2 linked regions of the Oreochromis niloticus genome follow. The protein of the gene in region 2 binds, or shares a complex with, the protein of the main gene of each other region. Links are inferred from orthologs where the notes say so. Each region holds a gene or a part of one and is shown on either strand. Other genes may lie near its edges.

Region 1 (7,358 bases), on a different chromosome or scaffold from region 2:
TCAATTATGGAAAATTATTCAGGTCCTGAAGCAGCTCAGACATGTTTGACTGTTGGTATGATTTTCTTTTATGAAATGCTGATGCAACAGGACTCAAACCTTCCAAAACTCTGGTAGACATGAGACAAACCTTTGTGTTCTTTTGGCCAACAGTGGTTTATATCTAGAAATTCTCCCATACCATACCATGCCATTTTTCTTATTGTTAAATCATGAAAAAAGGCCTTAACTGAGGCAAATCAGGGCTCCAGTCCTTTTCATGTTGTTCTGGGTTCATTTGACCTCCTGGATACATTGTTGATGTGCTTTTGGGGTATTTTTGGTAGGGTGCCCACTCCTGGGAAGGTTCACCACTGCTCCATGTTTTCTCCATTTGCGGATAAGGGTTCTCACTTTGATTTACTGGAGTCCTAAAGCCTCAGAAATTGCTTTATAATCCTTTCCAGACTGACATTTTTATCTCTTGACTTTCTTAAGATCATGGTATGACACGTTTTTTACGAGATCTTTTAGCCTACCTACCTCGCTTTGTCATTCTTGATTCACCAAGTAATCAGGTCTGGGTGTGGCTATTGACGTTCTACTCAGCTTTCCAAAAAATGTGGTTAATCAAAGTTGAGTCTCTCCCTTAATAAATGAAATCATCATTTAAAAACTGCATTTTGTATTTACTTTGGTTATCTTTTTCTAATATCTACATTTGTTTGTTGATGTGAAACATGTAACTGTATGTAATATGCAAAAACAAAACAAAACAAAAAAACAGGAAGTGGGCAAATACTTGTTCACAGCACTGTATATGCATCTTTGTTTCTGCTATGCAGATTCATTATTATAAATTTTCAAATGCGTTACTGGGTCTCTGGTTTCTCATACAGGCATGCTGATGCTAATAGCTTCCCTGGACATCTCCTGATGAGGGGATGTCCAGGCAAACTATCAGCACCTTTGTCCCCAGCATGTGATATTTTACCTCATGGGAATTTGCATAATTATGATTAAGGAACTGACCTCACAGCCCATTGTTCCTTCAGTGGGCTGGTTTCAGTCATTATGCAAATGTACTGTTTATAAGGTTTGGGGAAACCTGCAGTCAGCTGAGACTGAAGAAGTCACTTGGATGAGTGACGAAACGTTTCTCCCACAAAACGCTACGTCCAGATGAACAGATTCAACTTTTGGAGATTTTACCTCATTGAAAACTGGATACATCACGGCGTACAGCGTCATGGATACCATGGAGTTTGTCTCCGCTTCATTCTTCATCTCCTCCATTGTCATCCTCCAGGGAGGAGCAGCTCTGGTTGTAACAGTGAGGAAGAATCTGCAGCTCACATACACTCACACATGCACTCAACCAGTCACACTCACACACACACGCTCAAAACCACCCAAACTCCAGAGTATAGTAGCCTGAAGAAGAAAAATGTGAGACAGTAAAACAGTGTAAATGAAGAGACTGGATTTATAAAAATAGATCCACAACTAAAACTTCTCAACACCCTAACAAACATACGAAATAATAAATATAACTTATAAAATCACTATGACACATTCCTTATAACCTCTATTTGTACTTGGTATTTATGCACTGTAATGTCTAATTCATTAATGTCAGATATTTATTCTGCAATGCCGACTCAATACTGTTTAACTAGCATTTTCTATAATGTTCAGACAAAAGGAAAACCACACTGACCATATTATTAGTAGTTAATACTATTGACCAGTATTGAAGTCATTTCAAAAGCTTCCTATTAGTTCATAAAGCTCTCAATGGCTTGCCCCCCTCCCTATCTCTGACTCACTGTTAACCCAATCAAACCTCTCAGGTCATCAGGTGCAGATCTTTTAAATATTTCTCAAATCAGATCCAAGTTTGCCGAGTGGTCTTTCTGCTACTGTGCTCCTGTTCTTTGGAACAAGCTGCTCGCTGACTCAAAACCTTAGGTTTTCCCAAAAAGTTTTATTTTGCCGTTTTGACTGCCTTAAGAGACTGTCAAACCTACACAGGTTTTTAATGTTTCCATCATTTGTGTTAATCACGTTTACGCAAGAGGAAATGTGTTATATAAATAAAGCTGCCATTGCCATTCAAACACTGCTCTTTTGTGAGTCTGGAGAAGGGGAGTGGCACAGTTACCTGGCTGATGACAGCAAACCTTCAATGACCAAACATCAATGTGAAAATATGACAGTTGACGGAATAGAAGAGCTTATTACAAGCAAGACACCAACCCGTTTCATAATTGCATTGATTCATATCAAAATATGTAAAAGTCCAAAAGGAATGACAGGAATTACATTAACAACAAAAAAAAGTTTGGCGATGTAGATCAGACATTAGCCTCCTAAATACCATTTGGGGTATTCAGCTAGGCTAGCCAAATACTTCTCGATGTCATTAAGTTTACATTAAACAAATGTTTAGATTTTTTTCTCAGACATAAACTAGACTAACATTACTATTTTTCAACCAAACGCGATGGTAGCTGGCTAACCCAACCACTTAAGCAGCTTACTGGATGTATACAAGCCCAGGTATTTGAGACTCGGCTAACTGGACGTAGCTAACCCAGTAGATATAAAGTAGACGTTACATTGTGCTGGCTATTTTTCTTAAGACTGTTAAAATCAAGAGTCAGAACAAATGGGTAGGTATAGTATTATATTTATCGCGATCTACCCGTAAAAATATCAACCTGAGGCCTATGGCCGACCATATCGATGGTAGCGAACTGCTAGCAGTGAAGAGCCGAGCTTCCGTGCTAGCTCTGGTAATTTCTGGATTTATATTTTTTGAGATCCTAAAACACGCCAACCGGCTGGTTTAGGACAAATGTGTCATTACAGTATGTGTCAAAAATGTGAGCAGGTATCTACCTTTTGTCTGACTTCGTAAATGGGATGGTTACGCCGTCGATAGCCTTTTTAGCTGCTGTGTTTTCTCTACAACTTAAGGCGGAAGTTTTTTAGGACTGGCCCCAGCGACATCTTCCGGACCGTTGCTACGTAAACACACACCGTCCAATCAAAGAGCAGATAAATTAAGCGACTCTGACGTCATTTAAATAGTTACATTGTACACGTAGTAGAGTTTTGAGTTACTTTGCGGAAGTCTTGTCTTCTCATGATAAAAATATCACACGGGCGTTTCTCTCCTTCGGACTCAGTAAGTTCTCAGGGGAGTCCAGACTTCTGAGGACTGAGACAGCAGTATGGCAGCATCACAGCTCAGCTCAGCTCCACTGTGTCCTTCAGTTCCTTGTTGGGCTTAATTTCATTTTGACTAATGTTTACAATGCAATGCAGATGCACTGTGAGCAGGTTGGACAGGGTAAGAAATGAAACAGCTGAGGTTGAGCCTCTGAGGCCAAGTCAGAGAGGTAAGGCTGCTCTGAGGCCAAGTCAGAGAGGTAAGGCTGAGATGGTTTTGGACATGTGCAGAGGAGGGGGCAGTGGATATATTGTAGAATAGGTGTTGAATATGGAGCTGCCATGGAGCAGGTAAAGAGGAGGACCATAACAAAATTTCATAGTGAAGGCAAAGTGTTGGTATGAGAGAAAGGATCCTAGGGAGATGGTGAGATGGAGACAGACATTCAGCTGTGGTGGTGTGGTGCTTCCCAAGAATTTAAACACAATTTGATTTGGTAAATGTTGCTTTCAAAGTGGAAAAAGGCACCCAAACTATTTGCTTAAATTAAAGTTGTAAAACCACTGTAGTGCACAAGCGTAAATAAACAAGTGAATGTACTCATTATGTAGAATGACTGACAGAATCATACACACTGTGTTGTTGGACCATAATAATTGAATCAATGACAGGTGTTACTTAGATATTGCTCATAGCTGATTTATAATAATCCATTGAATCTACAAAATAATAAGTAACTGCAGCTTTAGCAAAGCAGACCTCAGGCCATCACACTACCAGTACCATGTCTTACTGTTGGTGTGATGTTTTTTGTTTTAAATTAAATCCTGTCCTATTTTTCACCAGATGTAACGGGACTTAAACCTTCCACAAAGTTCAACTTTGATCTCATCAGTCCACAGAATAATTTTCCAAAAGTATTGAGGATCACCAAGATAGGTTGTGTTGTAAATGTGTAAATGTCTTTTGGTCAGCAGTGCGTTTTACCTTGAAACTCTACCATACATGTCATGTTCCTCCCAGTCTCCTTATTATTATGTCATGAACTCTGACTTTAACTGAAGCAAGTGAGGCCTGCCGTCCTTTAGATGTTGTCCTGGGTTCTTTTGTGACCTCCTGGATGAGTCACTGATGCGTTCTTGGGGTTACTTTGGTAGGCTGGCCACTCCTGGGAAGATTTACCACTGTCCCAATTTGAGGATAACAGCTCTCATCATGGTTAACTGGAGTACCAAGGCCTTAGAAATGGCTTTTAATCCATTTTCAGACAGGTAGATGTAAATGACTTTGCTTCTCAGCTGTTTCTTTAGATCGTGGCATGATGTGTTGCTTTTTGAGATCTTTTAGTCTAATTTAGTGTCTTCTAATTAAGTGATTTCTTGATTTAAGAGGCCTGGCAGTAATCAGGCCTGGGTGAGGCTAGTGGAATTCAGCTTTCTAATCAAAGTTAATTCATGAGAGGTTTGTTGGGGGTTTCTTTTTTTTTTTTTACGTAGGCCCAAGTAGGTTTGGAAAGCTTTTTAAAACTAAGAAGTCAGAAAAGGTGGGAATATTTTTTCACAGCACTGTAACTTTTAAAATAAAACAAAAAATGAATGAAATAATACTTTTATAAACCTTTTTAAAAAATGTAAAATGTGTTCATAAAGACAAGTGAAATATCCTATTCAGAATATATGGACAGCACTTCAGACAATAAAGTCAAATAAAATAAAAAAGTTATGAAGCTTAACTTTAATCTCAGCCAATCCAGTTTGCCCAAGAACAAATAAAAATAAACTGAAATAAACCAAGATTATCTATTGCGTGTAACAAAAGTGAATTGTATCTAGTGTTTGGCCTCCACTGAGTGATGAGGGCTAGCCTGCAGCTTAATTGGTTTTCATGGTTGTCTTGTGATGTTAGTCAAAATTTCAACCAAAGAGTTTACTATGAAACAGTAATAATGAGTTTGAAGTAGTACCAAGATCTAAAAGTGGCCAATGGTATGCTGCCTCTGGAGTTGTAGATTATATGATTAATGCTGCAGATGGTCAGCCAGCTGCTTTTGGCTAGTTGGCACTATTCTAAGACTAAGCTGGTGTTTCCATCGTTCGCTACTACCTCTCAGTTAATAATTTGTTTGTGCACAGGAAACGAGTTTGTGTGACCTTTCGTCTCACTCTTCATTTACATAAACCTGCCAGGAGGGGGCCCCAAGAGATCTGTTTTTATGATTATTATATTTTTATGATTTAAGGCTATGCAAATATTTCTATCAGGAGACAGGGCCACTTAAAGTTTACCTTCTTGTGCATTAAAGTCCAGAAACAGTTTATTTACTTGGTGTGAATAAAGTGCCGATTATGTGGGCAGCTTTATTTTTCTTAACATTTAATAACGCTACCGTGGTCTCGCACACCATGGCTTTGCCCATTATTAGTCAAATTTAAAAAAAAAAAAAAAAACATTAAGTAAAAAGACATAGATGTTATAGATTATTTGAATGTAAAGTGACATATTATGATTGTTCATATGTATATTTACGTTTAGTTATCGGTGTTGGTTTTCCTCCCAGAGCTAGTGGCTGCTGTTTGCTTGTCATCCAAGGCTCTCCAGCAGTCAGCCAGCTGTTAGATGATTAGAGCTGCTCTCAGTCAATAAACCACTATTCTTCACTGGTCAGCTGCTGTTTTGGGGAACTGTGTGCTGCTACTCTAAGATGATATTTGCTAGAATTGTAAAAACACATACAGCTTACCAAAGTCTCTCAGGTCAGTTTGAATTGTACCTATTTTGACTGGATGTAATGAGCCCCATCTGTATTTGTGTGTTTATGTTCAGTTGCTACTTGTAATTATTGCTCGCTTCTTGCTGACGTTACTCTTGAAAAGGACATTGTCAATTTCAGTGACATTTACAGCAGGATAAATTAAAGGTAATATTATAAAACAGTTAAATTACCAACTTGTACATGTGTTGATTGGACAGTACTGAACTGGTTTTACTACAGAAATCATGCCATAAATATATTTTTGTGGAACTGCCACAGGAGAAGTGTTACAAAAGTCACATATAAAAAGACAGCCAACTAGAAAGCTGGGTGAGCTGCAACTGGTAACTTGTTTGCATTTTCAATGCATAACTTTAAGGCTTTTCAGCCATTATACTCGCATGCTTACAGATTCATTTTACTAATCTGATTACACACACTTTGTGAATGTACATTCGCTCAAGGTTAGTTTTGCGGAACCTTCAAGGGACCTCCAGAGAAAATTAAATAATGTTATTTCCCCAATCAGCATACAAATGCATACACATTTAGAACACTTGTAGATAATCAGTAACTTAAAATAAAGCTGCTGTGCAAATCTAGTGGGCCTTATGGAAATCATTTATCATAATTGCTTTTTGGTGTAACACACAGACTCAGCTGAGGGCAAAAAATGACATACTCTCATGAGAAACAGTCCCAGCTATAATATATAATACAGTCCAGCATCCCATTTGCAGAAGGAACAAAACACATAGTCCAAGGCTAGGGCCACTTTTGCCACAGGGTGGCTAGACACTAGCATGCTGACAAATTCCAACAGGTCCTCCCAGAACCACCACCCTGTGTCGAGTCGGCCAGCAACCACCCCAGGCTCAGCAGGCCAGCTCTGCCTTCAAGCTGCAGCATTTAACAGAGACTGGCCTGCACTGAGAATGAAAATGTGGAAAAACATACAGCTACATCTACTCGCAGCACCTCAAAAGAACATCTACTATAAACACATTGATGTTAATCTAAACCATCTTAAATCTGGGCTATGTAACATACCTGTACAGAGAGAGAAAAAATGTGACAGCAGTGTTTGCAGTACATGGCATATGTAGACTAAAGTAGAAGCAGAATCAGATACACCTGCCTTTAGTTAACCCCGCCCAACCACAGCCATTGGCTCATTGCAAAAGTGAAACACACGCTCCAAAATCATTGCCAATTCCGGTCTACCCTGTTACACTGGTGCAGACTACCCTGAACATTTCCACCCGTTTAGACAGCATGCCTTGCATTTTAAGGGTGATGTCAGGCCTCCCTTTGGCTATGGTCTGTCCTGCGCCATTCACTGTGTCAGACATGGTCTGCTGTGTACCTTCACAAAGACTTCTATTTTCCTCCTGTTAGTGTGCAGATTTTTAGGCACTGATATCTTCATCTGCCATTTAAAGAAACATT
Region 2 (7,118 bases):
CTAGTTTTCTTAGTCAATAAAATAATTGTTTACAACATTAAGTGTAACCAAACAGCCTTAAAACTGTCAGTTCATTTTAAAATTGCTAAATTAAGACATGTATGAACCTGCAAAAATTTCCTAGATTACCTTTATGCAGAAGAATATACAAAAATTCAAGAAAAACAACCCAAACTGTTTAGCTTACACTGAAAATTGTGTGATCATGCAAGAGCCCACTCCTGAAAGTAAAAGTGATTGAGGCGACTTGTTTTCAAGGCCTTTAACACTTTCACTTAGGCTTAATTAGCCTTGATAAATTACTTAAATAGATGATATTACTGAGTCTCTTAGTCCCTCAGTCCTCCATTGGCATCCCTGAAACTGAAGTTAACTCCTCTGCCCAAACCGAAATGACATGTCTCTTTCTGTTTCTCTTTAATTCTCATGCCTCTCCTCTCTCTTCCTCGTCTGCTGCTACTCTTCCATTTCTCCTTACAATTACCCAGTCTCTCTCTTCCACTCCTTCATTTTCCCCCCTGTTCACTCTCGTTCACTCCTCTTCTCTTTGCCGCCAGCTGATAACCAAAATCGCCCCGGCTCCAAACTGAACTGGCACGGCTCCTGTGTTTGCACGCTCTACACCGCATCAGCGTGCAAACACTGGGCGCAGTGTCAAGGCTGAACGCCCCCTCTCCTACCAACATATGCCAACATGGACATGACCACTCCAGCCAGCAAAAAAGACAAACAGTTCACGTACACGACGGAGTCAGGTTTGAGGTTCCTGGTTCAACTGTAGAGGCCAGGGAACCTCATTCACTCACCCCCAACCCCCTATCCCACAATCCAACGACTGTAAGATGAATATGCTCTAATTCCCCCCAAAAACATTCAGCGTCCTCTTTCAAAGCACTCTGAATGGTTTCGGCTTCAACGCACTCTGAGTAACATCTCTTATGTATCTGGACCGAGTAACCCCACCAATGAAGCCCATCAGCTAGTAATTTTTTCATGAGGAGGATGAATTATAGCTGCCGAGCACTGAGGGAGCCTTAACAACAAGCCTCGCCAGCGTCATGTTTAGAAATAGCGGAGGAGATTACAGCTTACAGGTCCATATTACAGAAGGTGACTCCCATAAGCAGTCTACAGTGGCTCTAAACACTCTTTAAACCACAGAAAATATGCTTATACCCCAGACCTATGGGACCGCCTCAGTCTTTTTATCAAAAAAAGGATACTGCAATGATGTAAAAAAATTGATTTATTGGCTGATTCCAATATACACCCAGCAGTTCAAACACAAACTCATACTGGATTTGCAGGTACAAATTTTTAGACAGTAAAAAGGCTCTAATATCAACATATTAGTCAATATTCTATTTATATACACTTGCTAGCTACTTCAAGGATACCTGTTCAACAGCTTGTTTATGCAAATAACTAATCATCCAATTACGTGGCAACAAGTCAATACATTCAAGTCGGCCTGCGGAAGTTCAAACTGAGTATCAGAATAGTGAAGAAAGGTGATAATCAACTGGGATTTCTACTGGGATCAGCATCTTTGCTGCTGAAGCAGCAGAAGAGCACAATGGGTCCCACTCCTTTCGGTTAAGAACAGGAAACTGAGGGTACAATTTGCACAAGCTCCCTAAAATCAGGCAGAAGATTGAAAAAAAAAAACATTGCCTGGTTGGATGAGTCTCGATTTCTATTGCAACAGGGTTGATATTTGCTGCAAATGACATCAAAACATTGATCCACCCTGACTTGTAGCAATAACTCAGAAGGCAATTATAGTCTAATAGTCTAGGGAGATCATTTCTTGATGCAGTTTGAGTTAAAATACAATCTTATTTATATAAAACCCATTACAAATTGAAACTTTCTAACTCACAACGTTTAAGCTGACTACATATTTTCATCATTCATGAATCTCTTTTTAAAATATTTTTTTACAATAGATGTAAAAAAAAAAAAAATGATGTAAATGATAACAGCCTCCAGAGATAGCTAGAAGGCAGAGGAGGGCACCTGCTGGTGATATGCACGGGACTGGAAACAACTGTACATTTAGTGGGATTGTAGCATCCAGATTAGGTCTCTGAACCTTCCCAAGCATTCATATATATCCCAAACAACTCTATATTTGTGACAGGCCAGTATCAACTTATTATTGTGCCACCAGTATATCATTCATACTGTAGTTCAAACCTCAAAGATTTTAAATTTGCACATATTTTATTTTCTGGTAGCCACTTTTATTTCAGTTCCCAAGAAAGCGTACTAAACCAAATCCCTCCTCTCACAAAGATACCAAATAAAACCAATAAAGGCTCATCTGAGGGGCAGGCGGACTGCCAAAAACTGATCCGATTCTCTGATTGATTAAATGGAGGATGCACTCCAGATGCCAAAAGGACACCACGAGGACATAAATATGATATGCAGTTACGTTCGGTGGTCCTGGGAGCAGCAGTCACATTTCACCACCTGCAGTCCCCCACGCTGAGCACCGCTGTAGGATTACTGCTGGGTTATTTATAGGAGCCGCTGCCAAAATAACACCTCGCCGTCTGCCCGCATGCATGCAGGCATGCTCTCGAGCCAAGACGGCGACTCGCTGCATGGAAAGGACATTCAGCTGATCTGAAAGCTTCCCAGCAACGACACACACATTCACACACACGTACGCACACACAGCCGTCCAGTGCGCTCCTGTACCAGGAGCTGTGGGAGCCCGCTGTGCTGTACTTGGATTTACCTCTGACTCCTTCTGCTGATCCTTGAACACATCTTTCCCTTTCGGCCTCTGTCTGTCGCCGTTATCGTTAAGGTTATTAATGATAGGTACCTCCATGTCCTCCGTCTGCATCTTTCACGGTCGGCTCGGCTCACTTCCTCCTCATCCGCGGATAGTGCATACCGGTCCGGTGGACAGCTCAAGACTGCACCGCGTCAGGAGGGGGGGACCGACTCCGGAGAGCGAAGTTGAGGATCTCCTCCTCCTCCTCCTGCTGCTGTTGAGACTACCCCCCCCCCCCCCCCCCGATATGTTTGATTCGCTGTCCCTGCTCGCTCCGAGAGGGCGGAGTTAAAGAGAGGCGCATCAGCTGACCACATGGAGCCAAAACGATGTCAGTGTATTAAAGTGGAGGTTGAATGGCTCAAAGTATTAGAAGCACCTTCATCTTATAAAAATAACTGCTGCATCCCTGGGCGACCCTTTGCTGAGTTGCCACACAGTCTGCCGTCAGCTGTGATGTCACTGTCGAAGATCACTTCATATGTGTGCATCTTCATTTATCATTTCACCTCCTGTCACTTTCCCCTGTGAATTATTGATATGCGGCTGTGAGGGGATTGTCCTGCAGACTGAAACACACACAGCCCCCTGACTGTGGAAAAACCACTTAAGATGACATGATTGGAGTGAACAGTTCAGAGCAGGCTTGAGCCACATGGCTGGGGCCATGGGGGAGGTGAGAGAGTTCAAGGTTAAATAGTAATTTACTGGTGGTTAAATCCATCGCAGGCCAAGTGTAAAATCAGCAGACCCAACAAAGGAGCTGGTCTACAAAAACACAGTGATGTGAGGAACTCTCGAGCAAGGCAGAGGAGCAGCGGTAACTTGTCTAAATGTAACTCAAGTAGACTCACTTTCATAATGGTATGTGATTCCAGTTGATGGACGATTTCTTAGGAAGGCAAATTGGATTTATCAAAAACATTAACTGTTTAGTTTCATGGTAGCAGACTTATGACAAACTGCAAAGTACCTACAGACAGTGTTCACAAGGACAAGGTTTCCTATTTTCTGTTATAAATTCCAGACTAAAGTACAGGTTTGGTCCAAAAACTATCCCAATGGTATCATCAGGGTTCATTTCTCTTAAAGGTGGGTCAAGGCAGCTTCAAAAGGCCTGACTATAGACTGTATGTAAAAGATGGCAGACAACAGTGGCGGATCTATTCAGGATTTGTAGTCACATGACAGATGTAACATTAAGTTGTTCGTTGTAGGGTTATGTGAATAAGGCTCCAGTCAACAAACCTAGAGACCAGTTGGCAACTACTGGCTTTATATAGAATATAAAAATGTCTATTCTTTGGTTGGGAAATGGTTGGTTAAATAAATGTTAATAATGAGTCCTCATTGTGTATTACACTAGCATGAATGCAGTGTAGTAAGAAGCAGCAGTCAGTTTCAGAGCCACCCCTGTGAAATTAATGGTGTCAGTCTGGCTCCACCACCGTGCCCACTTCAGGCCACCCTCTCCCTCCACCTTAAGCACTACAGATTTGTCACAGTGACACTTCATATAAGAAACTAAGCTTATACATTACTGTTGTAGCACCCAAACCAAACCTCATTTTAAATGCTTCAAAAGAAACAAGCTGAAATAGAATGTAAATAGATTATAGTGTAACACACATACAATATGATTCTATTTAAAGTAATCTGCTCACATAAACTTGACTAATGTTTCTAGAATAAATAGAGGCTCAGAGCCAGCTCGGCTCGGCTGATGTCAGAGATGTCCCCGTCTGATTGCTGCTGGCTCAGATGAGCTCACTGTGGCTATGACAGACCTCAACAGCTGCACGTGTCTTCTTCCACGGCACATAAATACAACTAGAAACCAATCCACAATGACACAACACAGGCTGTGACATTAAAAAAAAAAACTCTCTATATGTGAACACACTGGGTGACTGTGTATTAAAAGTAGCAGAAATAAAGCAGCACACAAAGGAATAACTTTTTTCCCCATTTTTTTTTATTCATTCAGATTACAGAATTTTGTCATTATTGCTTATCATCTAACATTATCACTTGCAATATTTAAACATAGGGTTTATCTTTTCTTTATTAGACAACTTAAAACATGTTGAATTTTTGTCAGTTTGAACAGTATGAGGATTTACAACAATAAATACAGGTGTCGATTCTTCTTTTACCTTCCTATACTTTTAAAGGTTGTCATATCTGCATATAGTATGTATATACATCTATGATGCTGGTGTCTTCCCCCGCCTACCCGGTCAGCAGAGCGCTGACGGAAAAACAAAACGGTTTCTCCACCCCTAACGCACAGGCTAGGATCCTGAGGCAGCTGGTAACAAAGCAACTATGGCCTACAAAACAGAAAGGATGCTTACAAATACAGAGAGACTTTTAGATGTGCACCGTCGTCGTCATCTCGCTCGTTCACACGCGCGCACAAAAGGAAGAAAAAAGAGACTTAAGACAAAAGGTTTAAGTACTACAGACAAGCAGTCAACAACATGAAGAGACGGATGAAAGGGACTCAGTATAGAAGTTTGACTAAAGGGTTCCCATATTGTTCTTATTTTTGCCTAAAACAAAAAAGGAACAGAGTTTTATTTATTTATTTGACCAAAATTTCAATAGATGCATGAAACCTTGTCAAATAGGTTGTACGAGCCCTCTCAGGAACCCTTCAAAATAAAATGCTGAACTACTTGATTAAACTGACCTGCAAAAGCATACTTGGACTTTTAGAGAGCAGACTAACTTATTCAACTGGTAAACAAAGTTTTTTTTGTGCCACTTCCACCTTTTCAAAAAATAAAACTTTTAATGTTACCTTTCATATCTTGTACGATACAGTAAACTTTCAGACTTGGGTAATGAGCCACTCTGTGTGCGTTTGAGCCTAGTGTGTGAAAGCAGAGCTGGCGGCGTCTCGCAGCACGTCAGAAGAGATTGTGATCGGTTCAGGTGCAGAGCCAGAGCCGGTGTGGCGGCGGGGTACACTTCAGGTGAAATCACTGTCAGGGCTTTTCTAATTTCAAATGTCAGCTCAGCTGGGGACGAGCTGCAGAGGATGGCGACCGTGCAGCTCATTACAGCCGTAAGAAAGACAGACAAAGAAAGAAAGCGCCTTCCGGGTGGGAGAAAAGGCGGAAATGGACCTGAAAGGCTAGTGCACGTCAGAGATGTCGTGTGCGTGCCGTCTTTCATTTGTAAGCTCAACTCATCTGTGAGTACCAAAGAGTTGTGTCATCTGATTATGGCAAATACAGTAATTCTTAACAGCACCATGTATTTTACTGAGGACCTGACAGAAGAAATCTGCTTAATGGGACAGCTCACCTCACAGTCATTTATTAAATAGATTTTCCTGGCATTTAGTGTTATTTTATCCACAATGTACACTGCACAGACAGAGATGTATGCTGTAGAGGCGTCTGCCTTCTCTTAAATATAATGGAAGTGGGGTTTCGCTTAAAGCTGTAACTCAGAAATACTGTTGGCCTCCTAGTAGATGCAACTATGGTATCAAGTTAAAAATCATACATCGTTTCATTCTCTCGCATTCACAAACCTGGGTGTCTACACCGCCCACCCAGCAGGGTGTGGGTAAAAATCTCATCTTGTTGTTGGTGGTTTCATGTAGGAACTATTTTATTTCTTCTATCTACATCTGCCAAACAAACAGCTCAGGGGACAGGGGGACACCCATTAGTGTTCACACCCGGTCACAAGAATGAGCGTTATGAGTGAGAGGGTGGTTTTAATTCAGCAGGAAGGAAACAGTTCCTACATGAAGCTGCTCACAATATTTGGGTGGGGTTTTGTTCCTTTATCTTGAATAGCCGGAGCATAATTTTGCGAAAGTGACACTGCTACCTAGTTTCAAATCGATTTTTTTAATGCGCCAAGAACCAGAAGAGAAGGTAATGCTTTTTAGTTCCATGACGTTCAAGAGAAGGCAGATCCAAACAAAGCTACAACCTACATTTGAAAGAAAACAAACAAACAAACAAACTACATTTGATTTTTGAGGTGAGCTGCTCCCTTAAGTACCAGGGTGGCTGCGTGTTTGGTATTTCTGTAAATATTTTCTCACAGTATTTAAAACGAGAGTTCGAGTATATTTATTACACGCATCATTAGAACATTATACTGCAATGATATTAGAGGAGAGGAAATAAACGAAAGATAGAAAAATCTTTTCTGTATAAACATCTAAATATACAGTATACCCTCGTGATGATCCAAAAGCCTGCCATGCTTCTACTACAGTATTCTTGTTTAAGTGAAGGACCAAATAAAAATACTTTTCATTACTTCAACACTGGCGTCGCTAGAGCAGGTGAGAAAG

Evidence for each region.
Region 1: strip2 (region 2) and programmed cell death protein 10 share a complex: the UniProt entries of both Homo sapiens proteins name them as parts of the core of STRIPAK complex. The link is inferred for Oreochromis niloticus from reciprocal best matches to the Homo sapiens genes STRIP2 and PDCD10.

The regions. Positions count from the first base shown.
Region 1 is NC_031983.2:17,919,260-17,926,617, forward strand, and holds the start of programmed cell death protein 10, read right to left. Parts: upstream 3,009-7,358; 5' UTR 2,884-3,008; intron 1,414-2,883; 5' UTR 1,282-1,413; coding exon 1,192-1,281; intron 1-1,191. UniProt on the Homo sapiens protein: Promotes cell proliferation. Modulates apoptotic pathways. Increases mitogen-activated protein kinase activity and STK26 activity. Important for cell migration, and for normal structure and assembly of the Golgi complex.
Region 2 is NC_031981.2:6,725,872-6,732,989, reverse strand, and holds the start of strip2 (striatin-interacting protein 1 homolog), read right to left. Parts: upstream 3,020-7,118; 5' UTR 2,861-3,019; coding exon 2,750-2,860; intron 1-2,749. UniProt on the Homo sapiens protein: Plays a role in the regulation of cell morphology and cytoskeletal organization. Required in the control of cell shape. Calmodulin-binding scaffolding protein which is the center of the striatin-interacting phosphatase and kinase (STRIPAK) complexes.